Linked DNA regions of Saccharomyces cerevisiae S288C. The protein of the gene in region 1 purifies or fractionates together with the protein of each later gene. This does not show direct contact. Each region holds a gene or a part of one and is shown on either strand. Other genes may lie near its edges. The genes, in order: GID12, VID30, GID7 and GID8.

Region 1 (8,010 bases):
TGTCAATGCTCTTGTGGATGAAGTTAAGGCTGTCGCCCAGTTAAATCACTGCAACAGTTTTCAGTTTGCTAAAGATGATGACGAAAAATTGGAATTATGGGAAGCTAGAAAGGTCGCGCTATGGTCTGTGCTAGACGCTGATAAGAGCAAAGACAAATCAGCTAAAATTTGGACAACTGATGTAGCTGTTCCTGTGTCGCAGTTCGACAAGGTTATTCACGAAACTAAAAAGGACATGCAAGCTAGTAAGCTGATCAACGCCATTGTTGGTCATGCAGGTGATGGTAACTTCCATGCATTCATCGTCTACAGAACCCCTGAAGAACACGAAACCTGTAGCCAACTTGTTGACAGAATGGTCAAGAGAGCACTGAACGCAGAAGGCACTTGCACGGGTGAACACGGTGTTGGTATTGGTAAAAGAGAGTACTTGCTCGAAGAATTAGGTGAAGCACCCGTCGATTTGATGAGAAAGATTAAGCTAGCTATTGACCCAAAGAGAATCATGAACCCGGACAAAATCTTTAAAACTGATCCAAACGAGCCCGCTAATGATTACAGGTGAGTATCTGATTTTCCTTTTTCACCCTTCACGTAAACCTGAAATATATTTCATGTAATATATATAGTTCATCCTTAAAGAAAACATACCATTTCAAAATGCCCTTTCCCAGTAGCTAATACATGCTTAAAAATGTGATATATATTATTACCATCAAATGTATTCATGATCCGGGTAGTGCCTTTTTTTCCTTCAAACACTAATGGGATGGGAAGAAACATTTCGAAAAAAGTTATGACTATTGGCAGCATCAGAGAGAATTAAACCTTACCTGTACAACGATAGCAGCTTACATCACTTCCTCGCAGTCATGGAAAAAAATACGGCACCATTTGTCGTCGATACGGCACCCACAACTCCTCCAGATAAACTTGTAGCACCTTCTATAGAGGAAGTAAATAGTAATCCCAACGAATTAAGAGCTCTTAGAGGGCAGGGTAGATATTTTGGCGTAAGCGATGATGACAAGGATGCCATTAAAGAGGCAGCACCTAAATGTAATAATTGCTCTCAAAGAGGTCATTTGAAGAAGGATTGTCCCCATATAATATGTTCGTACTGTGGGGCGACGGATGATCATTATTCTCGACATTGTCCGAAGGCTATCCAGTGTTCAAAGTGTGATGAGGTGGGTCATTACAGGTCACAATGTCCACATAAATGGAAAAAAGTTCAGTGCACTCTTTGTAAGAGTAAGAAACACTCAAAAGAAAGATGTCCTAGTATATGGAGAGCATATATTTTAGTAGATGATAATGAAAAGGCTAAGCCCAAGGTCCTTCCCTTTCATACTATATACTGTTATAACTGCGGTGGAAAGGGGCACTTTGGTGATGATTGCAAGGAAAAACGATCATCTAGAGTACCTAACGAGGATGGAAGTGCGTTCACTGGTTCTAATTTGTCAGTTGAGCTAAAACAGGAATATTACCGTCACATGAACAGAAATTCGGACGAAAATGAAGACTATCAATTTAGTGAGTCCATATACGATGAGGATCCACTACCGAGACCTTCCCATAAAAGACATTCCCAAAACGATCACTCTCATAGTGGCAGAAATAAACGTAGAGCATCGAACTTCCATCCTCCTCCTTATCAAAAGTCTAATGTCATTCAACCAACTATAAGGGGCGAGACGCTGTCACTCAATAATAATATTAGTAAAAATTCACGGTATCAAAATACAAAAGTAAACGTCTCGTCGATATCGGAGAATATGTATGGCTCCAGATATAACCCTTCTACTTATGTTGATAATAACAGCATTTCCAACTCTTCCAATTACAGAAACTACAATTCTTATCAACCATATAGGAGTGGTACCTTGGGGAAAAGAAGATAACTTTAAATAGGAAGCCCTTTAACAAGCTGTTCTTGGTTACATTATATTTTCTTAATGAAAGATTAAAGACAATACCTAATTCGACCATTAATCAAAATAGCATGTAAATTTCTTACATCTTCTTGTTGTGAAAAAAAAAGGCCTTCGTGCAATCACAGGTAATAATAATAACATATACATACATATACGTAAATACGTCTTATAACTCCTGCTACCTCATACGCTATTTTCTATTATGGCTAACATCTATGCAACTCAATTTAGTCTCTTTTTACCTTTTTCACAATGAATGTATAAAGGTCCTTTTCATCGTAATCTAACCTTCTTTTTTGTGCATTTAAACCGTCATAATCGATTAGAGCAAGTTTGTCGACAAACCGATCTTTTCTATTTAGCTTTAGTGAATCGCACAGTTTTATTCTTCCTAACCTGCAGTTTTTGAAAAATTCGCCTTTAAGAACAGTTATCTCTCCTGCCATTGATGTTACCACCAAGTGAAACGTAAGGGCGCAAACATTGTCTGTGCCTACGTCTATATCATTAATTATAACAATTGTATCATTAATCAATCCGAAATCATGGGGTATTATCCGAATAGTATCCTTGGAATTCCTTAACAAATTTTTGGTATTTTTTATTTCAAATCTATTTATCAACAAAACTCCATGTGTGTCCAATATAAAGCATAAAGAATCATCCAGCATAAATAATTTCTTGAATGAACATAAATTTCCCAATGCCTGCTTGAATTGAGCTGTCTCATCATCTATCACTTGGCCATCCACCTTCATTTGACTTTCTGCCCACTCTTCTTCATTAGTTCCATTTTCAGAGCCATTTTTGTTCGATAATGAATCGATTTTAATTATTGGTTCATCATAGTACCGAGGTCGGAATGCACTCAACGTGACGAAATGATCGATGCACACAATGTCCATCTTTTTGTAATTATCTGTTAGAAAAGAAGTCATTGTTTCATCACTTTCATCTGTAGTGTTATCATCTTCATTCACCCCATCATTTCCATTTCTATGAGAAATCTTTTCAACAATTTCAAAATCTACCATAAATGTATTCCTTCTTAATCCTCGGATAAAAGAATCTAATTCCCACTTCGTTGAACAGGGTACATCCATTCTTTCTCTAAAAGCGTCTCTAGTTAAGGCTTGAAAAGATTCTCTCCTTCTTCGACTCAGCGGTCTCGGTTCGCTGCTAGCAGTACTGAATGAAGAATTTCGGCGACTACTTCCCAGCATATCTTGAGTGTGGAATAACTCATATATGTCATCTTTAGCGTGACCTTGACGCTGTTTCCAGACGATTCCTGAATCCAGCATTCCTGTTCCAGAATATTTTACAATATCATCCCAAATGGTTGAATTTATAATATCCGTATCGAATGTAAACTTGTTACTAATCCAGCTGAACAAAGAACCAAATCCATTTTGTTGCGCTACGTTGTCCCACGAAAGTATCTCACCGCATGTATCTCCCTGTATACTGTTCTTTAGGCTGATAAAGGTGCTTAAAAATGTAACATAAGTCAATGGTAAAATTATTTTCCTTATAAATAGTGGTGATCGTGGCGATACTGTCATGAAACAAAACCGGTCTAATGGATTTATATGGAATGTGGAAATACCTCGTTCTATATGTAAATACATCGAAGGCCTATATATGGGCAGGCCTTGATACATATTGCAAAACGAAGATACCACGGGTGACGATCTTAAATGGGATGGTTCTATAGGCAAAAGGAAGTAGCAGATATGCTTAGAGCATGACCTTCCAGTGTACCGCGTACTACCTTCAAATAATTTTTCTTCTTCTGAAGAATGTGTTGTATTATTATCGTGATGTACTTTGAAAAAGCAATCTGGAAACATGGGGTTGTACATGTTCTTATACTGAATGTAATCAGTGGGAAGGTTCATTACAAAGACATATATTCGACCGGAGCACATACAACAATATAATAAACCTTGACTATATTCAAGACCAGCGATCATATAGTCACTAAAAAAATTGGATTCGAAATCTTCCGGAGTACATCTAAGGATATAAGAGGGCGCTAATCGCAGGCCATTTTTTATCTTGTATTGATAGTTGCTTATGATTTCAATGAATCCGTTGGATTTAGCCAGCACCATGTAATCACATGAGTCCAAAATATGCGTTGCGTCTGGAGATATTGACGTGTCTCTACCATTAGGCCTTAAATAACAAAACGCTTGTATATTTGCATTCACATCTACTTTTGTACAACCTCTTTCTGATGGGACCAGTGCTAATCGATCGTTTTTAAATTCAAATAACCTATAACCAGACGGTTTACCCTTAGTATTGCAGGGAGTAGAAACAGCAAATTGAATCCTGCCAGTAGCCATCGATAACAAAATGTTCAGATTATGTGGAAAGACGCTTTCTGCGTGTATTTAACAACTCAAAGTAAAACCTATCTTAACCTGGTTTTGTTCTATTAGATGCCATTCAACTATGGGGAAGGTATATTTGGATGTTTGTTAGCAATTTTCAGGAAGGCAAGTACTTAATACCGATCAGCTTACTATTGTTTTTGACCTTAGAGCTCTTTTCAACAAAGCTTCGCATTGTGAAAAGCAGACCCAAAACGGCAACTGAGAAAATACGGCACTGTGGAAATAAGTCATGCATCAATCATCAGCTGTAAAAAACCTTTAGAAAAGACATTATACAGATTCTTAGATAGGTATTGATGTTTGGTATTACTATTTTTTGGAGAAATGAGTAAGAATGTTGGTAAGCTAGTGAAAATATGGAATGAATCAGAAGTTTTAGTTGATAGAAAATCGAAATTTCAAGCAAGATGTTGCCCATTACAAAATCAAAAGGATATACCCTCCATACTCCAAGAACTAACGCAAAACAACAAAAGCGTCTCCAAGGCATCCCACATGCACATGTATGCCTGGAGAACGGCCGAGGTATCAAATAATTTGCACTTACAACAAGAGCAGAAAAAGAAGGGCAATAAAGCAAATAAGAGTAATAATAGTCATGTTAACAAGTCAAGGAACATAACGGTGCAGCCAAAGAACATTGAGCAAGGATGTGCTGACTGTGGCGAAGCTGGTGCTGGACAGCGTTTATTGACCTTACTTGAAAGAGCAAACATATTCAACGTCTTGGTAATAGTGACCAGATGGTATGGTGGCACGCCTTTGGGCTCATCAAGATTCAGACACATTTCAACATGTGCAGTGGAAACCTTAAAGAAGGGTGGATTTCTTCCTTAAATATCACCCTTACCATATAATATACACAATTGTAGAATATAATATTGATAAATATATACATATGTAGATAACTATAAAACTTGGCATTTTATTTTCAAATGTATTTGTAAGGGTTTAAAATTCCATTAGGATCATAATGAACCTTCAAATCCTTCATCATCTTGACCTCTTCCGGGCTCTTAGAATAGCCAATGTAATTTTTCTTTTGGAAACCTAGCCCATGTTCGGCACTAACGGAACCATGTTTTGAGGAAACAAACTCGTAGACAAATGGTTCCAAAGTCTTTTCAATGTTCTTGTTGTACTCTCTAACTGCAACATTTAAGTGTAGATTACCATCACCCACGTGACCGTATCCAATGGCGCCCACCACTGGTTTGGGCGAATCACCCACTAATTCAGCTTCAGAAAGTCTTGCATTAGTGGCTTCAACCAAAGAATATAGGTCCTTTAGTGGTAAAGAAACATCGTATTTGTAAACACCACCATTAGCTTGACTTGCCTCTGGAATCATTTCTCTCCACTTCCACAAGTTTTGGAGTTCGGTTTCATCTTGTGCCACTACACCATCCGTTACTATGCCCTCTTCCATGACGTTTTCTAAAAATGTTTCAAGTTTGGAATCATCGTGATCTTTGTTTGACCCTGACGTTTCGATAAGAATATAAAATGGATGCTCATCCTCCAAAGGGAAGGCAGCATCCTTCAATTGGCTCTTGGCCAATACTTGAGATTTAGCATCCATAAATTCAAAAGCGGATAAAATCTCAGATAATTCTTGCCTGGCTCTGACGAAGACTTTTTGAACGTCTTCAAAACTTTCAACAGACAAGTAAGATACATTAAACGCTTTTGGCTTAGGAACAGTCAAGATTGAAACACCAGTGATGATACCGATAGTACCTTCTGAGCCAATGAACAGCTGTTTCAGATCATAACCGGTGTTGTCTTTTCTCATGGAATGCATGCTATTAACAATTTGACCATTGGGCATTACCACCTCTAAGCCTAAAACGCTTCCATGTAGTGAGCCATAACGCAATAACCTTAGTCCTCCAGCGTTGGTTGCAACCACGCCACCAACATGGCAGGAACCTTTAGCTCCCAGATCCAACGGAAACATATAATTTTGTTCCATTACGTAATTGTTAGCATTTTCCAAGATTACACCAGCATCACACTTCAAGATACCTGATACAGGGTCAAAATCTCTTATTTTGTTTAAATTTGCTAAAGATAGAATTAATTCATCAAAAATGGGCACAGAACCACCTACCAACCCCGTGTTACCGCCTTGTGGGACAACGGCAATTTTTTCATCATTACAATAATTTAAGATTAAAGAAACTTTTTCCACTGACTTAGGTCTCAATACTAACTTGGACTGTCCTTTGTACTTTCTCATCCAATCTTCATTATAAAATGAAAGATCCTCTGATTCGCTGGCTCTTAATATTTCTTGTTCCGATAAAATAGATTTAAAATAATTTAGATCATCGGACGTTAATTTTTTGAATCTAGGGTCTCGATGCACGTCTGGATAGTTTTCGCTAGTCAGTCTGGTTTGTATCTTGGTCGAATAATAGTTAACTCTTCTATAGTATCCTAAAAGAGCTGATGATTTCATATATCTGCCAGCAAATTTGAAATTGCTGCCAGTACTTCTCACCAAAATGTTTCTTAGCATCTTGTTATATGCCACTTGTAGTGCTGGATTAATGTCTGTAAAATAAAGAGAAGAAGTTGTCAATGCATTTATTACCACTTTTTCAGAGTCAGATAGATTTTGAATTATATAACCTGTCAAAATGAAAAAAACTCGGCCGATATTCCTCGAGAAACAAGACGAATGCCAAGAGTATTCATTATTAGATATTTGTTTATGTAGTATGGTGTTTTTTTAGTAGCCTAGAAACGATGGTTATTCATATTGTACAAAGTTAAGACAACTAAAGAACGGAAAAGAATATTTATAGAGCTTGTAAAAGGCGAGTAACTTAGAATTATTGCTTGAAAAACGATGACCAGCCCCTCCTTGTAAAATTTAACCGTTGGTGAATTGTGGGCTTATGCGACATTACTGGTGAACTTCCCATTGTTACATCAATATGGTTTACTGAGTGTATGTTTTCCTCTGCCCTGAAATTATTACAGATATCGTTATTATTCCTTAACGGCACATGATTTTTTTTGTTGAAGTTGTCAGATTCCACCAACGGTAGGGACGGTTGGTATTTTGCCAGTAGAGAAGACCTTGAGTCTGTTGTCGAAACTGTTGCCATGGATGTCAGTGAAGGAACCGATATAGCAGAAGAAGTTCTAGAATGCGAAACCGGTCTTCTATGATTTATATATTCTTTCAGTTGGCCGGGACTTGGTGCATTGAACAACAGCATTTCTTGTCTCCTTTGTAAAAATAGTTGTTCCTTGATAGGCCCGAGGAAGTAAGAAAGAGAATCAATCAAATCCGGTGTAGTTATCCTCACATCCCAATTTAAATATTCTAATAGTTCTCGTTCGATGGTATTCACCTCACGTATTCTGAGTAAACCTTCTGTGTACGTGGTCCAGTGTTTGTTCCAGGGAGAAGAATCGTTCAGAGTTTTGGCAGCTAATATCAAGCATCCGAGAAATATCCGATGTCTTGTGGTGTTAATACCGTACACATTTTTTGGTATTACGCTTTTCAGTTTGTTTAAATAAACTGATGTGGCCATTAAAGTTGGTGTTTGAACATTTGACTGAATTACCACGTTTTTAATGAAGATAGATAAGTCTGGTGGGCGACATCCTTGGATTGGATTATTATTTTCCCTGATTTTAATTAT
Region 2 (8,628 bases), on another chromosome or scaffold:
TCATAATTACTAACAAGTATAGCCAATTCGCCTTCTCGGCATTTGTGTAATCACTTAAGAAAGAGTTCCATTCCTCAAAGAGCTTCCAGCCATTTATCCACTTAGACACTCAACCAAAATTTGCAATTTGTGGTTTAATCGTTACATTAGCTGTATTATCATCTGCCCTGTTCGCCGTCGGTTCTAAATCTTCATACATTAAGAAACTCTTCTTCTACACAATTTTAAGTGTAATTGGCAGCTTGTTTGCTGGCTTGACCACTGTTTTTGCTTCGAATTCTTTCGGTGTCTACGTCTAGTGGCTCTTCGTTGGCCTATAAAGGAATTATCGATGAAATTATATACTATACTTAAGAAGTATTTTGGATGAGAATATTAAAAAGAAAGGTGTCAAGTAAATTTCATTATATAAACGGTTTAAGACATATTAATATGCGATTTTTGGGAAGATAATGACTGATATCACATGGCTTTGTTGTTTGAAGGTGCTTGTTTTATGCTCATAAATTCAACACATCTTCGTCGAAGTTAATAGCTTTGTAATATCTTGGATCTGAAGAGTTGGTTGAACCGAACGCGTTATACTCAAGTAATGTAGAAAGCATAGCTCTAGTGTTTGATATTACATTCTCTAATGCGCATTCGCTATCCTTATGTAAAAATGTTAGTATTGTGTTGTTACTAACTTGAAATAATCTCTCTTGTAAGTATTCGTCACTCAAATATCCTGATATCTCCTTTGGTGCCTCCACAAGTGGATTGGAATATGCTAACAATGCAGAGACATTACTCAATTGTCCACTAAACCTATCCCTCAAAGATTGTGGAATTTTAGTATCGTAGATAAATTCATTAGATAATTCTTGACCCTTCAAAATTAAATTTTCAATTTCGTCATCATCTTTGGATGAACTCTTTTTAATCATCACCAGATAATTCGCTAGTTTTAACTCAAATACCAATTCTAGATTATTTTTTAACAGATCTGGAATTTCGTTATCGATATAATTGATGCATTTGCTAATTTGACCTTTGTTTATCAAGTATCTTAATTCTTGCCTTATCTTTACCATACGTTCTTCTTTCATGATCTGTCTTTCATTGTGCCTGATAACATCTTTACTTTCAGAATGTTGCCCATTGACATTAACCGCATCTTTTTGCAAATCTTTCAAAAACCCCTTTGCAACATCCACCAATCCTTCGTGGATCAAATAATCATTTATCATCACGTTTAATGTATTAGGCAATGAACCGTCATCCACGCTTAAGTTGTTAATATTGTTCACGTCTGGTCTAACTAGCTTTCCATCTATAAACCTATTATCTTCTCCCAAAAGAAACTTCAGATTGTTGTCCTTCTCATCGTTAAGCTTCTTTGTATCCTTATTACCAGCGGCACCATCCTCTTGATCAATATCCATCAAATCTTCATTAACGTTTGTTGATTTATTTTCTTCAGGCCCATTTTCAGTTTCATCTTCCTCACTTTCATCAGAGTCGAATTCTTCAATTGAAACGTCCATTTGGCGTCCACGACAAATATGCTCATACGCCAAACTCTTCCATTTATCTTGATATCCAATAATGTCAAATACAAAATCCTCATTTAACCCAAAATTTGTTTTGATAGAATTCCCAGGTCGTAAGGCCACATATGGGACGAATTCTAGATCATTCAAGTCGGTGAATGCGTTACCTAAATGGATACCATTCTTCGTGAAAAAAATTGAGCCATCGATAAAATTTATGCCACAACCAATAACGTCATCCCTACCAAAAGGCTTAGCATATTCCTTAGATTGTTCTGTAGAATTAGTTATCAAACCGTCAAATCCGCAATAGCCAAATACATTAAGATCAAATCCGTATTTCTGACACTTATTTATGGAACCATCCACGTTAAGAGACATGGCTGAAACGCCCCCTTCATAAATATAATCACGCCTTTGAGTACCTTCCATAGTGAAAGAAGTAGAAGGTACTCTATTGGAACTCATGTTATTACTACCACCTAAGCTACTACTAGAACCGGCCACGCTTGAACGAGAAACACTCTTTTTTGTAGTCGCTTCCATTAATTCATTCTCTACTAACTTGTATCCGATAACAATGTTACTATTTTCAGCACTCTCTGTACTCGTTACACTGAGAACTTTAATCTCGTAATAGAATATAGTTAACTTATTGTCTGGCAATGACTTATTTGCCCAAGTGACTGCAAAGTCCACTTTCCCAGAGTTCTCAAAAGAGGTTCTCAGTCTATTTCTGGTAGAGGCAGAAGAAGCGCTTGATCTTTCATAAGTCATGTATGAGTGATAATCAGGATTAGGTTGTAAATGAGTAATACCATCTTGAGATAGCTGCAAGCTGTTATTTGGTTGAGCTTGCCATCTAGAAGGTAAAAAGTACCCAAGTATTTTGTAAATATCAGGGATCATTGAGTTTTTCTTTTTGCTACCACTGTTGGACAAAACATTTGTTGCCTCATTGTCATTTTTGTCGTTACCAGACGATACTCTAGGAGAAGAAAAGGAAGAACTTGGAGACTGATCAGGGGGGTAGTATTGTAGACCACTGTTCTTGTCAGATGTATCCCACAAATTCCTTGATTCTGTTTCTATATTAATAGCTGATCTAGATCTTTGATATATCCATGGGTCCGCAACCCTTTCGGCACGCTGCTGTGCACTGGACACATCAGCATCAGCTCCTCTACTTCCTTCTTCTCCACCTTCCTCGTGATTGTCAGAGCCATCTCCTTCGTTGTTATCGTCCGTGTCAGTATCCACTTCCCCTTCTAAGCTTTCCAGATCGGATTCATCGTCGTCGTCGTCATCGTCATCGTCATCATCGTCATCATCATCATCGTCATCATCATCGTCATTTCTGTCATTTTCCAGGCTGGTATTAGAGTTAAGCGCCATTTCACGTTCGGATAAAACGGGTTCTAATAGTTCCTGAGCATTTTTCCTCATGTCTGAGGAAGCTTTCATAACTCGCACTGAATTTTTATTTGAATCTTTAACACCAAATCTCAAAGTAAAATCATTAACGTCTGGATAGAAATATTTATAGACTTGAATCAGGTAATCGTCGTTGACAGCTTCAAACGAAATTGTGCCTAGAACACCCAAATTCATCAATTTAGACCAGATTTCTTTCCTTGTTAAAGCAGTTAACTTTGTCCTGCCCATTCCAACGCCAGTGGGATTTTCATCAGCGTTGATTAAGTTAGTGTTCTTCAGTTTGTGAAAGAGTTTTCTATGTTGCAAATATAAAATCCATAAATCATAAGCCACAGGCTGTTGCAGCAAGTAGCTCGGGAACAAACAGTTAATGAATTCGCGGTCTACGTCATCCATATATTCAGACATTTCCTCTTAATTATGCTGAAATTCGACGCTTGGCTTTAACGTACTACTAATATTTCTGCTATAACAGTAACAGTTCTGGTCCAATCCTTTGGCTCTTTCTTTTGGTTGATCGATTCATCAGTTCCCTCCCCTGAAAGGCTCGCGCGTCCTGTAATCTAGCAAAAATAGGCAGGATACAAAATACAGTGGAGTGGTAATATTATATTCTTATATGGCTATATATGTTTATATATAAAGGTAAAGACAAACAATAAAGAACATACATATATATATAGATAGATATTGTGTGTGTGTGTGTGTGTGTGTGTGTGTGTGTGTATAGCAAGCGCATGAATTTCATCACAATGTCATGGTAATGGTTGTGGTGATGGTCGAAGTAGAGGTGTAGGATACGTCTTCTTCGTCTTCTTCTTCCTGTTGTCGTAATAGCTCCTGCTGCCTTTGGAACTCTTCTGCTGCAGCTTTTTCACGCTCTTTTCTTTCACGTTCCTTTCTTTCACGTTCCTGAAATTGCAGGTTGGCTTTCGATCTTAGAATATACAAAAACTCACCACTCTCTTGAGTGAACGATAATATCTTCTTTTGCACTTTTTGCCTAAACGCGTTAACACGGGATAAGTCAGCGGAATGGTGAGCCAGCTTGTCTCTAGATTCTATGATCTGTTTCTTGCCCTTCAAAAACTTCTTCCAGTTAACAGAAGACTTTGCTTTCTCTTCATCAAGCGTAGTGTCATCATCTGCACCCATGTGAGCGTTGATAACATCCACATAAGCCATTCTTTTGGACCATTCATTTACAATGATATCACCCCATTCTTCAAATACCTCGACGTTTTCCTCTCTAATTGCATTAACTTTTTTTTCAATTTCATCAGTGATTTCGCTCAAATCTTTCTCCATAGCATTTGTCAGTTCGTCTAACGTCGAGCGCGTCTCGTTGAAGTACTCACGAACTAACTCTCTCGTTATGTACTGAGAAATCTCAGTACTTCCAGATTTATCGAAGAAAATTTTCTTGCCAGTTTCACTATCAATGCCTTCCACACATTCAATATCGTTAATGGCTAGCGAAATCTTGGAGAAGAACTTCTTAGATTTATCATCTAAAGATTGAAACTTGGCTTTAAAATGGTTGGCCTCCTCAACCAATTTACCATTGATGTATTTGGAAACATCCTTTTCAAATAGCTGTATGACGTCTTGTGTTTTCTGCAATATAGTCTCACTCCACATGTCAAAATCCTCTTGCAACAGAGCCTGTTCATTGACATTGACGTCTGTGGAGCCTTCAACGTCTGTGGAAGCCTCATCGTCGTGCGCATGATTAGCAACAGCGCTAGCCTCTTCCTGGTCCAAAGTAATTGTTTCAACCACTGTTTGAGTACTTGTTGTAGTTAGCTCCTCTTCGTCAGACTCCATAGTACTTACGGTTAAAACCATGTCCTCCGAGGAAGGCTCACGTGTGACAGAACCATGAATGCCATGCGTGTCCTTATTCTTGAACTTTCCCATTAATTTTTCCTCTGTATTACCAACAATAAAGTCGTATTTGGATTTGATGCATCTTGAAGTGATAGTAAAGTAATAATGGCCTATATTTTTATACTTTAAAATTCTTTCCTTCAAATGAGAGCGAAACTCCGCAGTAAAGAATTTGTCTAAGTTAGGTTTCACAAAAGCATTGTATTTTGCGAAGAAAAATCGTCTAGTCTTGACCATTGGGGAGCGGACCAATTGGTAATACTTTCCACAGTTCCATTTCTTACATTGTGAATGGATGACCTTGAATGCAGGCTGTATAGCGACCTTGTTCACTTTTACTGTAGCGTCATCGATGACAGGTTTGACAGCCGTGTCATATTTACGCGCCACTATATCGAAACCGGGACTAACTTTATTTTTGTATAATTCACAATTTCTTGAAAAGTAGGTGTTCCAGACTCTTGGATTGGTATAATGGCAAAGCGTTTGCGTGCGTTCACACGATATGCTCCCACTATTGAATTCGCAACAGTACTGAAGCAACGATACCAACACCGTCAGAGTTGTGATTAACTTTATCAGCTTTCCCATTTCGTTACGCTGCGTTCTTGTTTAGATGTAACAGCTTTTGTGCATCCAAGATATAAAGTACTTCAGAAATGGTGGTTGAAACAGAATGCCCATTACGCTTACTTTAAGGCTGTTCTTCAAGTTGATCCTTTCTTTGATACATGATTATCATCATGTACGTAGAAATCCGCCTTATTTCCGAAACCTGACTATCTTAGGGTTATACATAGAAACGTATAGGACATTTCTTACTTTTGAAAATTGTTCCTTGGGCAGTTCAGGGTTTAGTTAGGGTATTGATGCCAGCCCTAAATCCCCTAAATAAGAACTCTCGAGGATAATAACAGACAATAAACCAAGAGTTCATCCACGTATGATGGCTGTTTTTTATTCTGTCGGTTTTTGGTTGCCGTAGTAAATATAATTTGGTAAGCGTGTTGTGCTGTGTTGTGTTGTGTTGTGTTGTGTTGTGTTCTACTAATTGGATTGTGCGAATAAGTGAAACGGTTGCTTCACCCAGCGGGAAAAGGACAACCTGGTATTTGGTGTGAGATAAAGTTATAGACAATCTGGTCTTTTGTTATTAAGTTCTCTTTTCTTCTATACCGTCCAGTTTACTGCTCTCTTGCTTTTCGATAAAGCTAAAATAAAATAAAAATATGTCACTATGGCCCTTTGGAGAGACGCTGAGTCATTCCGGAATTGATTCGATACTTGAAGAGTACTATCTAATTTTTCGTAGTTTGGAGGGAAATGAGACCTCTTCAACTGACGACAAGAAGAATGAGCCTTCTATGGAGTCAGAGTCCGAATTTGGTACCGAGTCTCGGGATAGGAGTGACCTTAACCAGTCATTTATTGATAGGATCTTGTTGGAAACAGCTTTGCTGGATGAACTGAATGGAGCAGCCAACGACAGACTCGTCGACTTCATTTGCTTGGGATATTTCTATGACGACCGTTCCCAGCAGGTCCGCCACATGGACTACCTAGTGGACATGTTGATGGCTTACCTGAAGGACATAGACCGCACTGGTTATAGAACCCCATTTCTTTTAGAGAATTCATTCCATCAAACAGGTGAATATGAAGATCAGGACGATGAAGACCCAATGCTGTATGTCAACATTATTTCCAGTATTTTTTGTTCGAAAAGTGCGCCCATAGTGGAGGCACTCGTGCAAAATACCCCATTTTTGTCCTCTCTGTTCGAGGTTTTCCAGTTTGAAAATATTGAGGCAGAAAATTGTCCTATCTTGGCTGTTTTCCTTAAGATTAACGAAACTCTTCTGTTTGAACAGACATCTAGCTATTTGGAATTTTTCAAATCGCAACCGAACATTGTGGACAAGTTCTTATATCATATTGAAGTCTCACCCTTGGTTGAATTTCTCATTAAAATCATGCTGACTGATCAAGTTGAATCACCTACGAACATTATTGACTTCTTGTATCACCAGGATCTGATACCTAAGTGTTTGAATCTCTTGGAAAATAGCAAATACTCACCTGGTATTCAAAACAGTAGCGGAGAGCTTCTAAAAGCACTGATCAGCATTTCCACCAATTTTAAACTGGATACTTTGTGGATCGGACCTAACCGATTGACAAGACAGCTTGCCTCTCCGCAATATGTCGACCAACTTATTAATATAATCTTATTTCAAAGAGGCCATGCAATGGGAGTTGCCGTATCTATTATAATTGAGTTGATCAGGAAGAATAATTCCGACTATGACGAAGTAGATTTGTTAAGTACCACCATAGTAGACAATCCGCCTTCTCAAAGAGATCCAGTCTATTTGGGCCATTTGTTATATGAGCTCACTATGCATATGGAAGATTTTTATGCATTACTAATTAAACTTGAAAATGATGATGACGATGATCATGACACTGCTTCAAAAGCTCTTCCATCTGTTAAGCATCACCTACTAGAAAACCAATTGCATGAATCATTCAGGCCTTTGGGCTTTGAAAGAGTCAAGATTACAGAATTGATATCGGAAATGTTACACTGTTCAAATATGGGATTGATGAATTCAAAAAGAGGCGAAAAAATAGCACGTACCAGAGATAAATGCAGGGACACTCTTGATCAAAACTCACTAGAGAAAGCCATGAAAAATTTAAATATAAATGATAATACTATTACTTCCAATACATTAGAAGATAAATGTAATAATAATGATAGTAATGACAGTAATGACAACCAAAAACAAAAAAAAAATATTAAAAAAAAGTTTCATGATAATGAATTGTATTCTACTTTTGATACATCTGATGACAATATTGATGATGATGATGATATGAGTTTTGAAATTCCTTACGTCAGTGAAACGCAAAATTTGAAAATACGTAAAAACCCTACCATTGGAGATTTATTCAAAATTAAACTTCATGACCTTGGGTTTTTTCCAAAGTTTCTACAATTATTCTTAAGATATCCTTGGAATAACTTTTGGCACAACATTGTATTTGATATTATTCAGCAGATATTCAATGGTCGAATGGATTTTTCTTATAACTCATTTTTGGTCTATTCTTTGTTTGATTTCAAAAAGTCTACAAGATTTATCCCAAAACCTTTGTACGGCAGCAACCAAAAGTTACCTGTTAAAGACTTCCATATTATCTCTGATTTCATTTTACAAGGCCACAAGGATTCGTTTGAATTTTACGAAAAAGAGAAAACAAATTTAGGTTATATGGGTCAATTAGTATTAATTGCCGAAGAAATTGCGAAGTATTCCAAAATTTATAAGACCGATCTAATTGCTCCAGATATATATGCCTTCTTACAAGATGAAGTTTGGATGTCATATTCTAGTGACATCTTGAACGAAACAAGGACAATGTGTTCAATAATTCTTGGTGGAGGCCAGTTCTGTGCCGAAAGCGATGAAAATACTAACCAGGACTTTTTGGAAAAAGCTGATATGAGTAAACCAGCTCATCCATCCACAATGGATGAGAATGAAATTGTTCACGAGGAGGATGTTAAGTTGCATGATAAAGTTGCCGAGCTCATAGATGAATTGGGTCAATTAACCGAATTAGATATTCATGATAAAATTAAAGATGTTATTGTTGATCATCATTCCGACTTAAATTGATTAGGTTAAGTCGTCAAACCAATTTTGACTTTTTTTTTCCTACATTTTTAATATTTTGTTTCTCGTTTTGCCTTATTTAATTT
Region 3 (7,963 bases), on another chromosome or scaffold:
TCTCTTGGGACTTCACGATTGGGGAGGCATCACCTTTCAAGAAGTCCTTAACCAAAGATTCAATAGCCTTAGACTCCAACACGATCTTGTCGCTCAATTCGTCAAACGCCTCTTCAGAGAGTTGAGGCAAACCGTACTTCAAGTCTTCAGTCATGTCGTGGATGGCAAATAGAGGGAATTGTTCCTTCATGTTCAAGTTGCCGGCGTGTCTGCCGAATTTTCTGGCATCGATGCTAACAAAGTTCATTAGACCTCTGTTCTTTTTGGCCAACTCGGTAAAGAGAGGCTTGTATTCTTCCAATTCTTCCTCGTCATTGTAGAATAAGTAACCCAAAGGCAAACCGCTTTCGACGTATTGGGCGAAAACGGAACCGTCGATTTCACCAAAGTAGGGCAAGGCTTCCACTTGCAACCATTTTTCAAAAACATCAGCGTCAGCGATATCGGCTTTCTTACCGTTGTATACTACAGGCTCGTCCATGGCGGAGGGCAAGTAAATAGAAAGCTTGAAATCATCGTCTGCGTTTTCAGCGGAGACAAAGTCGTAGTCGTTGAAGTGTTTGTTGGCCATGGAGTAAAAGGTGGCGTTGAAGTCGGCGTCAATCTTACCGGATTGGACGATAACTGGAGTGACAAAAGTCTCGTTAGCAAGGTAAGCTGGTAGATCAGCAACAACGGCGACAGCCGGTTGGCTTTGCTTGATCATGAATTGGACAATGGCCTCGGCAGTTCTAGGTCCCTCGTAATCGATCGAGTTGTTAACATCGCTGTTTTTGAAAATCTTCAAGCTTGGGAACCCTGGAATGTTGTGTTCCATACACAGATCCTGGTTTTCAGTACAGTCGATCTGGGCCAAGGTAATGTTTTTCTCAACTAAAGTCTCGGCGGCTTTAACGTATTCAGGAGCCATGTTCTTACAGTGGCCACACCATGGAGCAAAAAACTCCGCAAGCACCAAGTCGTGCGACTGAATGTACTCATTGAAGGAGTCGGTGGCCAACTTAACGACAGCGGAGTCTTCAGGGGCCACAGCCTCTTGTTGGGCGAAAACAGAGGAGGCGAGCAGCAGGGAGGACCATGACAGGACGGCACCAGCAGAAAACTTCATAACGGGATAGATGTATGTTTTTCTTTATGTAGAGCTTGGCAGCTTTAAAATTACCAATTAGACATGCTGCTTGCAACAAGAAAATGCACGCGTAACAAAATATATATATATATATATATATATATGTATGTCCATACGGGTTTTTCGTTTTGTTGTGGTTGTAACAGCACAACAAAATGCTACACGGTGGCAAATTGGAAAAAGAGACTAGTGAGAGAAAAGGGAAAAAGAGGCGCCGCCCGACAGGGTAACATATTATCACGTGCAGCCCAGGATAATTTTCAGGACACGTGTTTCGAAAGGTTTGTCGCTCCGAAAAAATCAAAAAAAACAAAAAACGGGAAATAACAATAACGACAAAAATGGAAAAAAAAAAAATTTTAGACGCGGCGCTTGCACCCCGCATTATAAGTGGTGTGCCGACGGACGGTCAACCCCTTTCAGGGGGCCCCCTATCTTGGGCGTGGTGTCACACCACGCTCAAACGGTGGGCACTAATGAAAACGCGCCCATATAAATATCCGCTATCAACAGAACCCCCAACCCCCCCATCAGTGCCCAACTCAGCTTCCGTAAACCACAACACCACCACTAATACAACTCTATCATACACAAGATGTCATTCGACGACTTACACAAAGCCACTGAGAGAGCGGTCATCCAGGCCGTGGACCAGATCTGCGACGATTTCGAGGTTACCCCCGAGAAGCTGGACGAATTAACTGCTTACTTCATCGAACAAATGGAAAAAGGTCTAGCTCCACCAAAGGAAGGCCACACATTGGCCTCGGACAAAGGTCTTCCTATGATTCCGGCGTTCGTCACCGGGTCACCCAACGGGACGGAGCGCGGTGTTTTACTAGCCGCCGACCTGGGTGGTACCAATTTCCGTATATGTTCTGTTAACTTGCATGGAGATCATACTTTCTCCATGGAGCAAATGAAGTCCAAGATTCCCGATGATTTGCTAGACGATGAGAACGTCACATCTGACGACCTGTTTGGGTTTCTAGCACGTCGTACACTGGCCTTTATGAAGAAGTATCACCCGGACGAGTTGGCCAAGGGTAAAGACGCCAAGCCCATGAAACTGGGGTTCACTTTCTCATACCCTGTAGACCAGACCTCTCTAAACTCCGGGACATTGATCCGTTGGACCAAGGGTTTCCGCATCGCGGACACCGTCGGAAAGGATGTCGTGCAATTGTACCAGGAGCAATTAAGCGCTCAGGGTATGCCTATGATCAAGGTTGTTGCATTAACCAACGACACCGTCGGAACGTACCTATCGCATTGCTACACGTCCGATAACACGGACTCAATGACGTCCGGAGAAATCTCGGAGCCGGTCATCGGATGTATTTTCGGTACCGGTACCAATGGGTGCTATATGGAGGAGATCAACAAGATCACGAAGTTGCCACAGGAGTTGCGTGACAAGTTGATAAAGGAGGGTAAGACACACATGATCATCAATGTCGAATGGGGGTCCTTCGATAATGAGCTCAAGCACTTGCCTACTACTAAGTATGACGTCGTAATTGACCAGAAACTGTCAACGAACCCGGGATTTCACTTGTTTGAAAAACGTGTCTCAGGGATGTTCTTGGGTGAGGTGTTGCGTAACATTTTAGTGGACTTGCACTCGCAAGGCTTGCTTTTGCAACAGTACAGGTCCAAGGAACAACTTCCTCGCCACTTGACTACACCTTTCCAGTTGTCATCCGAAGTGCTGTCGCATATTGAAATTGACGACTCGACAGGTCTACGTGAAACAGAGTTGTCATTATTACAGAGTCTCAGACTGCCCACCACTCCAACAGAGCGTGTTCAAATTCAAAAATTGGTGCGCGCGATTTCTAGGAGATCTGCGTATTTAGCCGCCGTGCCGCTTGCCGCGATATTGATCAAGACAAATGCTTTGAACAAGAGATATCATGGTGAAGTCGAGATCGGTTGTGATGGTTCCGTTGTGGAATACTACCCCGGTTTCAGATCTATGCTGAGACACGCCTTAGCCTTGTCACCCTTGGGTGCCGAGGGTGAGAGGAAGGTGCACTTGAAGATTGCCAAGGATGGTTCCGGAGTGGGTGCCGCCTTGTGTGCGCTTGTAGCATGATCTTTTTACATTTTTTTGGTTTGTGTACGTATCCCACCGTACTTACCATCTTCTCTCCTTTATATATATATATATATATGTATATTTTCAGTGTATATACATACATTCTTATACAATACCGTATAAGAACGTATGTATGTATGTATGATTTTCTCACATTAATGAACAATATCATCGGAAACGGGCCTTTGGTTTTTAAGGGAAAATGAAGAACAATAAATGCCTTGCTAGGTCTTCCTTTATCATTTTTGGAAGTCAAATATGAAAAACACTTCCAAGGGGGCGTACTACTTCAACTAATAAAATGTCACACACTAATAAGATCGCATACGTGTTGAACAATGACACGGAGGAAACAGCCTCGCCCTCTTCCGTTGGTTGTTTTGACAAGAAACAGCTCACTAAATTACTGATACATACTCTAAAGGAGCTGGGCTACGACTCCGCCGCTAACCAGTTACTGCTAGAGAGCGGCGGATATCAAAATGAGTCTAACCACATCCAGACTTTCTTCAAACTCATCAAGACCGGCCAATTCCATCTTATTAATTGGCAGATTGTTTGCTCGCTGCCCCTTGCCCATAGCTCTCCGCTAAGGTCCGAATGGCTTCAAAGGCTGCTCATTCCCACGCCGACGCCCGCCACGACTTCACTTTTCGACCACATGCTCCTGCAACTGCAATACCTGCAACAGCTGATGAGCTCTGTAAATTCATCTACTTGTTCGGACGCAGAGATCGCCACGCTCAGAAATTACGTAGAGATCATGATTCTAGTTAATAGACAAATATTCCTCGAATTCTTCCATCCAGTCACAAATTCCGCCTCTCACAAGGGCCCTCACACTGCACTGCCCGTCCTGTATTTGCGCAAAATCCTCAAAAACTTCATCGAGATATGGGATTCCCTGCTGGTGTCTAACGATCAGTTCCTAAATGAAGAAAACATCTTCAATCCGGAAACGACCTTGAGAGAACTGTCGACGTACCTGACCAACCCAAAACTAACCGCGCAGTTGAACCTCGAGCGAGACCATCTGATTGACGCCATCTCCAAATATATCGATCCGAACGAACTCGTTCCCAAGGGTCGTCTCTTGCATCTCTTGAAACAGGCCATCAAGTATCAACAATCACAAGACATTTTTAATATCATCGATCCGGATGATGACGCCTCTTTCTCCTCTCCACCCCACCGGATCAACCTTTTGCAGGATAACTTCTCACACGATCTGACTGTGACCTTTCAAGAATGGAAGACTATCCAAGACACCACAGACGAAATTTGGTTTTTGACATTTTCGCCCAATGGCAAGTATTTGGCTTCTGCGACTTCCGAGTCTTCAAGAGGCTACTTCATTACTGTTTATGATGTGGAACAAGACTTCAAAATTTATAAGACTTGCGTGAGCTTGTCACAATCCGTATTGTACCTCATGTTTTCTCCTGATAGCCGGTATCTGGTTGCTTGCCCTTTCAGCGAAGATGTTACCATTTACGACATGAATGCCACCTCCCTGCCCGATGCGTCTGCCACAGACTCGTTCCTACTATACCCTTCTACCAGGCTCTCGCCCATGGACTCGTTTAAACTGGACACCACCACGTACCCAGATGATACCGAATCATCAGCATCATCTTCCTCGAGGCCGGCAAACGCGAATTCTAATCAATCAAGAGTATGGTGCTGCGATGCCTTCCACACTGCGGAACGTGCGGGCTGGATGGTGGTTGGATCGCCCGACAGAGAAGCTATTGTACACTCACTCACCACGAAAGAGTCACTTTTTAGCTTAAAAGGCAGGACTTGTATCGCGTTGGGCCACGATGAAAACATCTCTGGGAGAAAATCAATCGATCCTGCAAAAGTCCTTTACAAACCAACAAGTAGCAATGGTAACTGGCAATATGTGGAGGACGACGAAACCTTTCCACGTGTGCACGACGTGAAAATCAGCTATGACGATAAATACGTGCTTTTAATGACCCACCAGGGCGTTATAGATGTCTACGATTTCAGTGGGTTCCCCTCCAAAGAGGAGCTATCTAAGCAAACAGTGGATCCCAAAAACTTTCTGATTCCAAGGATCGCAAGATTGGACGTGGGCAAAAACATGACTTGTATCTCATTACCGCTAAATACCACGCATCAAGGCTTCCATAGGCAACAAATATCCGAGTCTCAACATTTGGTATTAGTTAGCCTTCAAGATAACGAATTACAAATGTGGGACTATAAAGAAAATATTCTCATACAAAAGTACTTTGGACAGAAGCAACAGCACTTTATTATCAGATCTTGCTTCGCCTACGGTAATAAGCTTGTCATGAGCGGATCAGAAGATGGTAAAATTTACATTTGGGATAGAATTAGAGGTAACCTAGTATCTGTTTTATCCGGTCATTCCACGGTAATGAGTAATTCCACAAAACCCATGGGGAAAAATTGTAACGTAGTTGCATCAAACCCTGCAGATAAAGAAATGTTTGCTTCTGGCGGTGATGACGGTAAGATAAAAATCTGGAAAATTTCAAGAAATTAATACTCCACCTTATATATATACGTAAGCAAAGTTTTATGTAACAAAAAAAAAAAAAGAACTAATCCAACCTTCTTTCACTTTCAGGTAAAACTTGACTGAGTTCTTCAGCCTCTCTTCTACCTCTCTTGACATCCAAACAGTTTAGCACAGGCAATGATAGCATCAAAAGCAAAAAGAAGAAATAAAACGAATAGCGAATATTATGCGTTTTATCGGTAAGCAGTCCAACAAGGAAGGGTCCCAGGATGGACGACCCCTTATCTGTGATACTGAACATACTAAAAAACGTGGATTCTTTTCCTGGAGGTACAATCAAACTGAAAACTGATCTTGAAACCGCGGACAGGCCACCTAGTGATAATCCATACCAAATGGCCAATAAGAACATTTCAAACTTATGCTTTAAACCGAACGCATTGAAGAAAAATCCAAGAATACCATAAAATGGTATGAAACTTGCCCAAATGATAATGTACATCAAAGTTTGACTAGAAGTCCACCGAAACTTTGTGGCAAGAAATTGTGGAATCATAAAGGCACCCAGCATTGCATTTACAACGGTCAAAACACTTATCATGATTAAATTGAGGGTACTCATGTGCAGTTCTGCCTTGGAGAACAAAACCGCTGTAGAATTTATAGTTGTAATGGAATCACTAATAATAAACCACGCAATAAGAAAAATCATCACATCTTTCAATAGTCTGGCATGTTTAAACGATTCGAAAAGCGAAACCCAACCATATGAAAGGTAATTCTTCCAGTTTAGTTGACCCAAGGCGTCTTGCTCACCGGGATACGGACTGCGGGCGGATGCTAATGTAGAATCGTCAACTCTTATCGGTATTGTCACATCGTCAATCAACCAGATCATGGGCAGTTGCCACACAAACCACCAAATCCCAACGAAAAGAACAGCCACTTGAACATCCTGCTTACTGCCCTTTTTAGATGCGACTAAGAACATAGATACAATCTGAACAATGAGGGCACTTGAATAACCTAAAGATGCACCTCTACCGCTAATAACAGTAGTTAACGAGTCTACCTTATCAGGTTCATAAGCTCCTTGACTTTGACATTTCAAAGAATCCTTGACAAAAATGGGCAGAAGAGAATTCCCAACAACATTGATAACGCCAAAACAACCATTGGCCACTATATAAAGCCCAGCCAGAGAATAAATCTGGGTATCATTCAATTTTGAAATCGCAACAGTCGACAATGCGCCCACAATACCAAACCAAACCAGAATTCTGCCTTTGAATTTAACGCTCCCCCAGAGATCTACTATCCCTGAAACGGAAATGACTATTATAGTTTGGAATAAAACGCTAAGGGAAAAGACATATAATGCAAAACTTGAAGTATCTACGAAGATCCGATTGTTGAACAAACCAAGAACACACTTATCTGAATCACTACCCGTTTCTGACAGGCAGGGTATGGAGTGATCGTGAACTTTTACACCATTTATACTCGCAAATTGCTGCAGTAGTAAGGGAATATACGTTGAAACCGCAGAAACGACAAATGGTTCGCTAGAAAATGAGTAAGCGTACCATCCCTTGATATTGTTTTGGGCTTTTTTTATTCGATAGTTCGTTACCGATTCATTCATATCATTTATAGTTCCATAGCTCATATCTAATGTAGAGAATATGTTATGAGCAAACTATTGCTTATAAGGGCAAAAACCGTGGTAATATAGGTACAGTTTGAAATCTTTCCTTTTGTTTACACTACGCATCTTTCAATAGCTGAGGTATTTTCGTTTAGGAAAATACCGTTTTAAGGAATTAATTTTAGCAATTTCCTAAAATTGTTGAGCGGCGCTATCAATGCCGCACAATACAACAATTAATAATCTAAGACACGTTGCATTATACATGACAGAAGCTAAAGCATGGTCTTAGATGACAATAAAAAGGAATTTGACAGCACAAAAGAGAAAAAAAAAACTATACATAAAATTTTTTACATATGAATTGCTTAGAGTAAAATAGGCATTTTTCATATCTTCTTCCCAATTATTAAATTAGCAAAAAATTGAATAAAAAAAGCAGGTGGTTTAAGAATTGCGCAGGGAGAAGAAAGAATATCATATCTCATGATGGTAGCCACTTAGACAGAGAGAAAACGAAGTGAGAAGAGGCTAGTATTTTTATATCTTAAAAAAAAAAAAAAACAAAAA
Region 4 (7,171 bases), on another chromosome or scaffold:
TGTGAATCTAAACAATTTATGGAAAGTGAGGTATATGACGAATTGGTTTCAATGTTGGGAAAACGTTAGGAAAACGCGGGCGGCTAAATAAAACAAAAAAGGAAAACAAAAAAAAGAAAAGGGGGTAAAAATGTGTTATGTAAGATGTACGTACGTAATGGATATTATATGAATGTATGATTTTATATTATTGCAATATCGTATTATACTCAGAGTCCAACGTTTGATCATTATCCATATCATGAATAAACCTGTTTGGAATAGTGATAAAATCAGGAATTCTACGATCGTTGGCTAAATCAATAGATCTTCTATATCTTAACAACAAATTACTGCTTTTTGAGCCAAATTTCTTGGTGACTTTCCTATAAAATAACCCACAGGCATTACACAAAGTTCTTGTGCCATATGGTCCCTTTCTCCATTCTGGAGTCTCGGTCTCCCCGCAATGGAAACAAAACTCGATGATTTTTTTTGCATTAGGATTCTTTTCATCGCTATTAGCGGCGGGAGTTGTCGTTGAAACTGCAGCAGCACCAGGATTGGAATTATTGATGAAATGGCTGGAAGTGGTCAGCGTGGGTTGTCTCTGAATAGCTCTTGGTCTGCCTCTGTTATTCTTCTTTTTCGTGTTGAGGTTAGAAGTGGTTAAGTTCTTTAACTGCGTTTGCACCATTGGAGATAACGTAGTGTTTGGAATGTAGGTTATTGAATTGAAGGGAGATGATGAAATATTCATTTTCTTATCGTTTGGATCGTCTTGTCTTGGAACCTGTAACTTTTGAAGAGGCGCGGAACCGGCCGTGGGGGAGGGTGAGGAAGAAGAGGTTGAAAGAAAAGCGTGACGGTGATATAATGGACCATGTAAGGTGCTACTCTTTAAATCGGTATCCGAAGCATGCCTTTTATTGTCATAGAATGTTGGAAGATGTTGGGTGGAGATGGAGTCAGTTAATTCCTGTAAGGAAGGTAACTTTATCTTATTGGAAAACGGTGAAGAGCTCTCCTTTTCAGACTCTTGCTGCTTCAACTGTTGCTGCTCTTGTTGTCTGTCAGTAAGTAAAGAAGCCAGACGGTTTTCGATGGTTGTGATATGATTTTGTAAAGAATGGAAATTCTGAGTAGCAATACTCTGCCTGAAATGGGTAGAATTTGATAAAGATTTCAGTTTAGCTAATTCATCCATAGTAGATTGAATGTTTAGATCATTTGCTGTAGTGGTAAGTTCGTTGTTTTCAAAATGTTTAGAAAATGAAACTACCCTGTTAATTTCATGACAGGAACGTTCATCAATATTGTCCAGCACTTCATTCTGATTCGAGTTTACGGGTTTATCGTTATTAATGTTATCAGTACCAATGCCATTATTGGTTTTATTGTAAACTGGTACTTGTTGGAAATGAATATCAGTAGCAACAGGAGCATGCATTTGAGGGTGAATATTATTTAGCTGAAAGTGAGAAATATTGGGCGGCATGTGGGGATCCGGTATGATGCTGACCAGCCGCTGAGGAGCAGAAGGAATTTGGTGTGTATTTCTATAATGTGAGTTGTTGGATATTTGAATATTAACGGCGGGAAGAACAGAATTAATGTTGTTATTTTTTATAGTGTTGTTACTATGGTTGTTGTTATCATTATTGTTGGGATGATGATAGTAGTATGCGTAGTTGTTGTTTGCGCTGTTTATATGGGCATTCGGTCCATTATAATGCTGCAAGGGTAATGGAGAATTTATAGTTACAGTAGAATGCAAAGGATCTACTCTCGGAGCAGAATGGTCAAAAACAAGTTGTGGAGGACCGTATGTGAACCCGGGCAGTGCTTGTGGCTGTGTTTGAGAGAAGGGGTAGATATTGGGGGCTTGCATCTCGATGAAATTTTTTGAGACAAGTCGTAAAAGCCCTTTATTAAAGTGAAAACAAACAATTCACTATGAACGAAAACAATATTAGAGCAAAGGAAATCACTAAAAGTAGATGGAGAAAATAAAAAAACGCCGTGAACGGAAATAGAAGAAATATGAGGGGACGCAAGGAAGTAAAAGGACCAGGAAAGAAAAAATCCTCCTTCAATATATACCAAGATATACAAGAAACTGAAACTCAAAAAATAACTTTTATACAAGATTGCCGACACGAAGAAAGGAAACGATAGCCGAATGTCTTAATGCAATAACAACTGCATTAACAATTAAGCAAATTTAGGAAATTTGCTTATAACCTTATATTTCAAAATAACCGTTGAGTTTTAGCTTTTGCACAATTCCGCGCCGGGCCCCGCGCAGGGAAAATCGCAGCAGCCGGAAAAACCGCCATCCAGCACCTTCAGTTGGGGAAAGCAAAGCAACCGAACGAAACTATATCTGAGATAAGGGCGGTGCAAAAAGAATGTGAAACCACGCTTGAAAAATGAAGTCACGGTTACACTATCTCCAACTCTGCAGGGTACAGTGCTTCTGATCGTGCATCCTTTTGTGGTCTGGACCAGCGTCGACGCGGCGACAGAAGTAGCGATGTTTCGCAGTGATAGACGCGTAGCGGTACAGGCCTGCGGCGGCTGTTGTGCGGTGACGTGCCCATGACTCAACAAAAAAATAAAAATAAGCAAACGGAAAAACCATATTAGTTCCCCTTTCTGCTGCTCCTACTCCTGTGCGTTTTCTCTTGCGCTCCTTTTTTCCCTGTTTTATTTTTTTTGTGTTTTTCGCTCGGCTTGGGTTTGTGTGTACGGCCCTTTTTGGGATCCCGGAGTTTATTTGACTGTTGTCCGGATCCGTTCCGAGTGAATGGTAATCGCTCCATTGTGTTGCTGTTTATCACTATCAGTGTCGATCTCGCTTTCCTGACTCTGCCGGCGCGGTGCCCCGGTTCGTTGCAGGAGACATTTTGATGGTACATCATTTTTCTTGAAGCTAACATGTGTAATTTGGTCATTAAATTGCAAGCAAAGGGGCAGTAGAGACAAATATCAGCCGGATGAAGATATATTTGTGTGTGGTAACAAATAGAAATGACTATATCTACTCTTAGTAACGAGACCACGAAGAGCGGATCTTGCAGCGGCCAAGGCAAGAATGGTGGGAAAGACTTTACGTATGGAAAGAAGTGCTTCACGAAGGAAGAATGGAAGGAGCAGGTGGCCAAGTATTCTGCCATGGGCGAGCTATATGCAAATAAGACAATACATTATCCGCTGAAAATTCAGCCCAACAGCAGTGGCGGCTCGCAGGACGAGGGATTTGCTACCATACAGACCACACCCATAGAGCCCACACTGCCACGGCTTCTGTTGAACTACTTTGTTTCTATGGCATATGAAGACTCGAGCATTAGGATGGCCAAGGAGCTGGGATTTATACGGAACAACAAAGACATTGCGGTTTTCAATGATTTGTACAAGATCAAGGAGCGTTTCCATATCAAACATCTTATTAAGCTGGGGCGTATCAATGAGGCGATGGAGGAGATAAACTCTATCTTCGGGCTGGAGGTGCTGGAAGAGACTTTCAATGCTACGGGAAGTTATACGGGTAGAACTGACAGGCAGCAGCAGCAGCAGCAGCAGCAGTTTGACATAGATGGAGATTTACACTTCAAACTGCTGTTACTGAATTTGATCGAGATGATAAGAAGTCACCATCAACAGGAGAACATCACCAAGGATTCCAACGACTTTATACTCAATCTAATTCAGTATTCTCAAAATAAACTTGCAATAAAGGCTTCGTCAAGTGTCAAAAAGATGCAAGAGTTAGAATTAGCAATGACTCTGCTGCTTTTCCCCTTGTCAGATTCGGCGGACAGCGGCAGCATTAAGCTGCCCAAATCGTTACAAAATCTGTACTCGATATCTCTAAGATCTAAGATAGCAGATCTGGTTAATGAGAAGCTGCTGAAGTTTATTCATCCAAGGATTCAATTTGAGATCAGCAATAATAATTCCAAATTTCCAGATTTGTTAAATTCCGACAAGAAAATAATTACGCAGAACTTCACGGTGTATAACAACAATCTCGTCAATGGTTCAAATGGTACAAAAATAACTCACATTTCGTCTGACCAACCTATCAACGAAAAGATGTCAAGCAACGAGGTCACGGCTGCTGCTAATTCAGTTTGGCTAAATCAAAGGGATGGAAATGTTGGCACAGGTTCAGCGGCGACAACTTTTCATAACTTAGAAAATAAAAATTACTGGAATCAAACTTCTGAATTGCTTTCCTCTTCAAATGGAAAGGAAAAAGGTTTAGAATTCAATAATTACTACTCTTCCGAATTTCCCTATGAACCAAGATTGACGCAGATAATGAAACTGTGGTGTTGGTGCGAAAATCAGCTTCATCACAACCAAATAGGGGTTCCTAGGGTCGAAAACTGACATACATAGTACGTATATATTTATATATGTGTGTGTGCGTGTGCATGTGTGAGTGAGTGTGTGTGTGTGTGTGTGTGTGTGCCTACCTGCATGTATGCATTTAGCAATTGATTTTTCTTTTTTTTTTTTGGAAGCTTTCATAGTATGAATTCGCATTTTATCGTGTTTCCCGTATCAATCTTCAGGAAACATAATTGAACATCATCGATATTCAATGGCAGTAGTTCATCTTTATGATTGTAAATTTTGACACCGTTGGAAATCGTAAACTTTCTTGCCCCTTCACCGCCCTCATTCTTAATTATATCGCGATATATTTCGCAATCTTTAAAGTAGTGGTAAAGTCTCAGCCTCAATACACGCAAGGTAGTACCAAACTCAGGTCTTTTTTCATTTTCATAATCCTCTGGAGAAAATTCAACATGAAATTTTAATGGGGTGGACAGAAGTTCTTTCCCATCTACAATAACATTACATTCGACATCCAATTCTGATACAAACACAGGTTTTGCAAAAAACTTATCGCGATCTTCGAACTCTTCAATAACAATACCGCTTTTCTCGTCTTTGTATTCTTTACCGTGATATTCATCACTCACCAACATCCGATGAAGCTTCAGACTTTCATCGATTCTTCCACGCTCTAGTTCTTCTGATGTGTTCTTTTGTAGAAGACTCATTTCGATCGTTATATACAGTTCGTTAAAAAATGCAAGCGTACCAACCACTATCAAAAAGAGAGTTATCCTACCACTTATTCGATCATGGATAAATTGATGAACATATGGCAACTCCTGTAGTTTATTTATTAATTTTAATTCGAGATTTAGATACCTATCCTTTAACGACATACCGGCCTTTGGTTCTTTTTCTATACCACACTTTGCTATAAACACTTCCAAGTATATTGCAGATTTGCGATGTGATTCAATTTTTATAATGCTTTATATTTTGTTTTTTTTTCATAAAGGCTTACTTAAACGAGCTTGCTCTTCTTGCTTAGCGATATTGCCGAAACTCGGGTTTACTTTTCCATTTTACTTCGTGGCTAGTGTAAAAAGGAATTGCAAAAAAAGGGTTCACTTTTCGAACATTTTATTGAGAACCGTTTCAACCTTATTAACCTTTTCATTCATATTTGTAGTGGCAAAAGTTGTTAGTTAGTATTTCTTTGTCAAGTCAGAGAAAATGAGTGGATAAGAGGGGGAAACAGCTCAGTTTCTTGCAAATGCATACATACCCATTTCATGAATTCTTCGTCTTTCAACTTTTCCTTGATTAGCCGCTTAGATATTTTTCTTGACGCATTCCGATTAACGTTTTTAACTCTTATCGTTAATCCTTCGCTTGGCGATGCTTCTTTCCTCGTTTCATTAAGTGTGCCGTTAGGTAGCACTTCTTTATTTCTATCAGGGGTATGTGTATTTCCAGATTTTTGGGGGTTTGTTAGTTTATCATCAATATTTTTCTTATTACTGGTATTTTTCTTCGCCGTGTTGTCTTTCCCGGGGCTCCATATAATCGTTGGTGTTGCATCTAAACCAGTGACGCTTTGCATCTGACTTTCCCTTTCCTTTGGTATATGAATAGTTTCTAATAAACCAGTTTTACACAGAGCAATCTCCTTTCTTGAAGTAAAATCAGAAGTGGTGTCGACTTTTTTCTTTTTGTTTTCTGCATTAGGAAGGCAGTTGGTAGTGTTTGGTGGAGATTGAGAAACCTCCAATGGCTGTACAATTAGCGACTCAGGACGACCCAAAACAGTTTGCGTAGCCATTGGAGTGTTGAGGTCTTGTGAAGATTGTACTACATTTAAATCCGTGTTTGGCCATATTTGTTGAGCTATTTGAATGCTGTCGTGTGGTAAAGTTATATTTGAACGATTATTTGACTCTCTTTCAGATTCTTCCTGATAACGTTGACTGAAATCCATAATCATGTTTTGAGTTTGAAATTGCGTGTTCGGATTTGTGTAGCTACTAACTTTTGGACCTTCTGTGAAACAGACCTTTGTACCGTTATTATTGCCTTGCACCTGGCTTGTTATTGTACTCTGGGCTATTGATGTCCTAGCTGTCCTTAAAACAAAATTAAGGTTCTTTAAAGAAACTACAGTCCTGTTGAACTCAACGTCATTTGGCAAATTCATCTGAAACCTCCTTAACATTCTGGGTCCGAATTCTTCGGAGATATATTTACAAGAGATTATGGGGCTTTTACATGAAAATTGTATTAAATCTTGATTATCCCCCAGCGGCAGGCGAATATTTTCGAGAAGTGTTGAATTATTGAGAACCACATTGATCAGAATTTGTCTAGAGTCCATTAGAAGAACCCGAAATTGGAGAGTGCAGTTAGCGGAAAGGTGTTGCCACTTGTCTATCTGAGGAGGCTCAAGCATTGATTGAAAACCATTTGGAGCGAAGGAGGGAATTGTATACTTGGAGTATTTCTTTATTACAACTGAGCAGTACTCGTACATTTTTCTCTTTTTTTTTATTTTAGTTCTCTCTTTCAAACTTAACTTGACGATATGTTAAAACCTTCTCCTTTGCTTTTTATAAGTTAGCCGCCCACCTTGTAACGAAATTCTCTATTAGTAAAAAAAAGTTGATATTCTTTCAGGAACCCACCAAAATGGGCTTCGTATTTAAGTATGTATTAATAATTTATGTTATTATTATTTAAAATACTGAATACTTTAACAGTCATTTAAGTGTTTATGAATATGCAGACGGTAAACTGAATTTTATTTTATTCCTACAAAATCACATCGTAGAACATATAAGTA

Evidence for each region.
Region 2: the proteins of GID12 (region 1) and VID30 purify together in Saccharomyces cerevisiae (affinity purification with mass spectrometry; 5 studies listed by BioGRID). This does not show direct contact.
Region 3: the proteins of GID12 (region 1) and GID7 purify together in Saccharomyces cerevisiae (affinity purification with mass spectrometry; 2 studies listed by BioGRID). This does not show direct contact.
Region 4: the proteins of GID12 (region 1) and GID8 purify together in Saccharomyces cerevisiae (affinity purification with mass spectrometry; 3 studies listed by BioGRID). This does not show direct contact.

The regions. Positions count from the first base shown.
Region 1 is NC_001136.10:138,381-146,390, reverse strand, and holds GID12 (Gid12p), read right to left. Parts: upstream 4,295-8,010; coding exon 2,168-4,294; downstream 1-2,167. Other genes in the region: DLD1 (D-lactate dehydrogenase), read left to right, coding at 1-565; AIR2 (TRAMP complex RNA-binding subunit), read left to right, coding at 873-1,907; YDL177C (uncharacterized protein), read left to right, coding at 4,670-5,182; DLD2 (D-lactate dehydrogenase), read right to left, coding at 5,277-6,869; PCL9 (Pcl9p), read right to left, coding at 7,186-8,010. UniProt on the Saccharomyces cerevisiae protein: Regulator of the GID E3 ligase complex. Modulates both assembly of the substrate receptor GID4 into the GID E3 ligase complex and its activity toward its substrates.
Region 2 is NC_001139.9:64,420-73,047, reverse strand, and holds VID30 (glucose-induced degradation complex subunit VID30), read right to left. Parts: upstream 3,378-8,628; coding exon 501-3,377; downstream 1-500. Other genes in the region: OST5 (dolichyl-diphosphooligosaccharide--protein glycotransferase subunit), read left to right, coding at 60-299; SHE10 (She10p), read right to left, coding at 3,717-5,450; SAP4 (Sap4p), read left to right, coding at 6,089-8,545.
Region 3 is NC_001135.5:49,114-57,076, forward strand, and holds GID7 (glucose-induced degradation complex subunit GID7), read left to right. Parts: upstream 1-3,531; coding exon 3,532-5,769; downstream 5,770-7,963. Other genes in the region: protein disulfide isomerase PDI1, read right to left, coding at 1-1,108; YCL042W (uncharacterized protein), read left to right, coding at 1,471-1,830; GLK1 (glucokinase), read left to right, coding at 1,725-3,227; ATG22 (Atg22p), read right to left, coding at 5,828-7,414.
Region 4 is NC_001145.3:535,898-543,068, reverse strand, and holds GID8 (glucose-induced degradation complex subunit GID8), read left to right. Parts: upstream 1-3,012; coding exon 3,013-4,380; downstream 4,381-7,171. Other genes in the region: DNA cross-link repair protein PSO2, read left to right, coding at 1-91; GAT2 (Gat2p), read right to left, coding at 188-1,870; ERG29 (Erg29p), read right to left, coding at 4,518-5,231; REC114 (Rec114p), read right to left, coding at 5,460-5,504, 5,621-6,862. UniProt on the Saccharomyces cerevisiae protein: Component of the GID E3 ligase complex recruiting N termini and catalyzing ubiquitination of proteins targeted for degradation.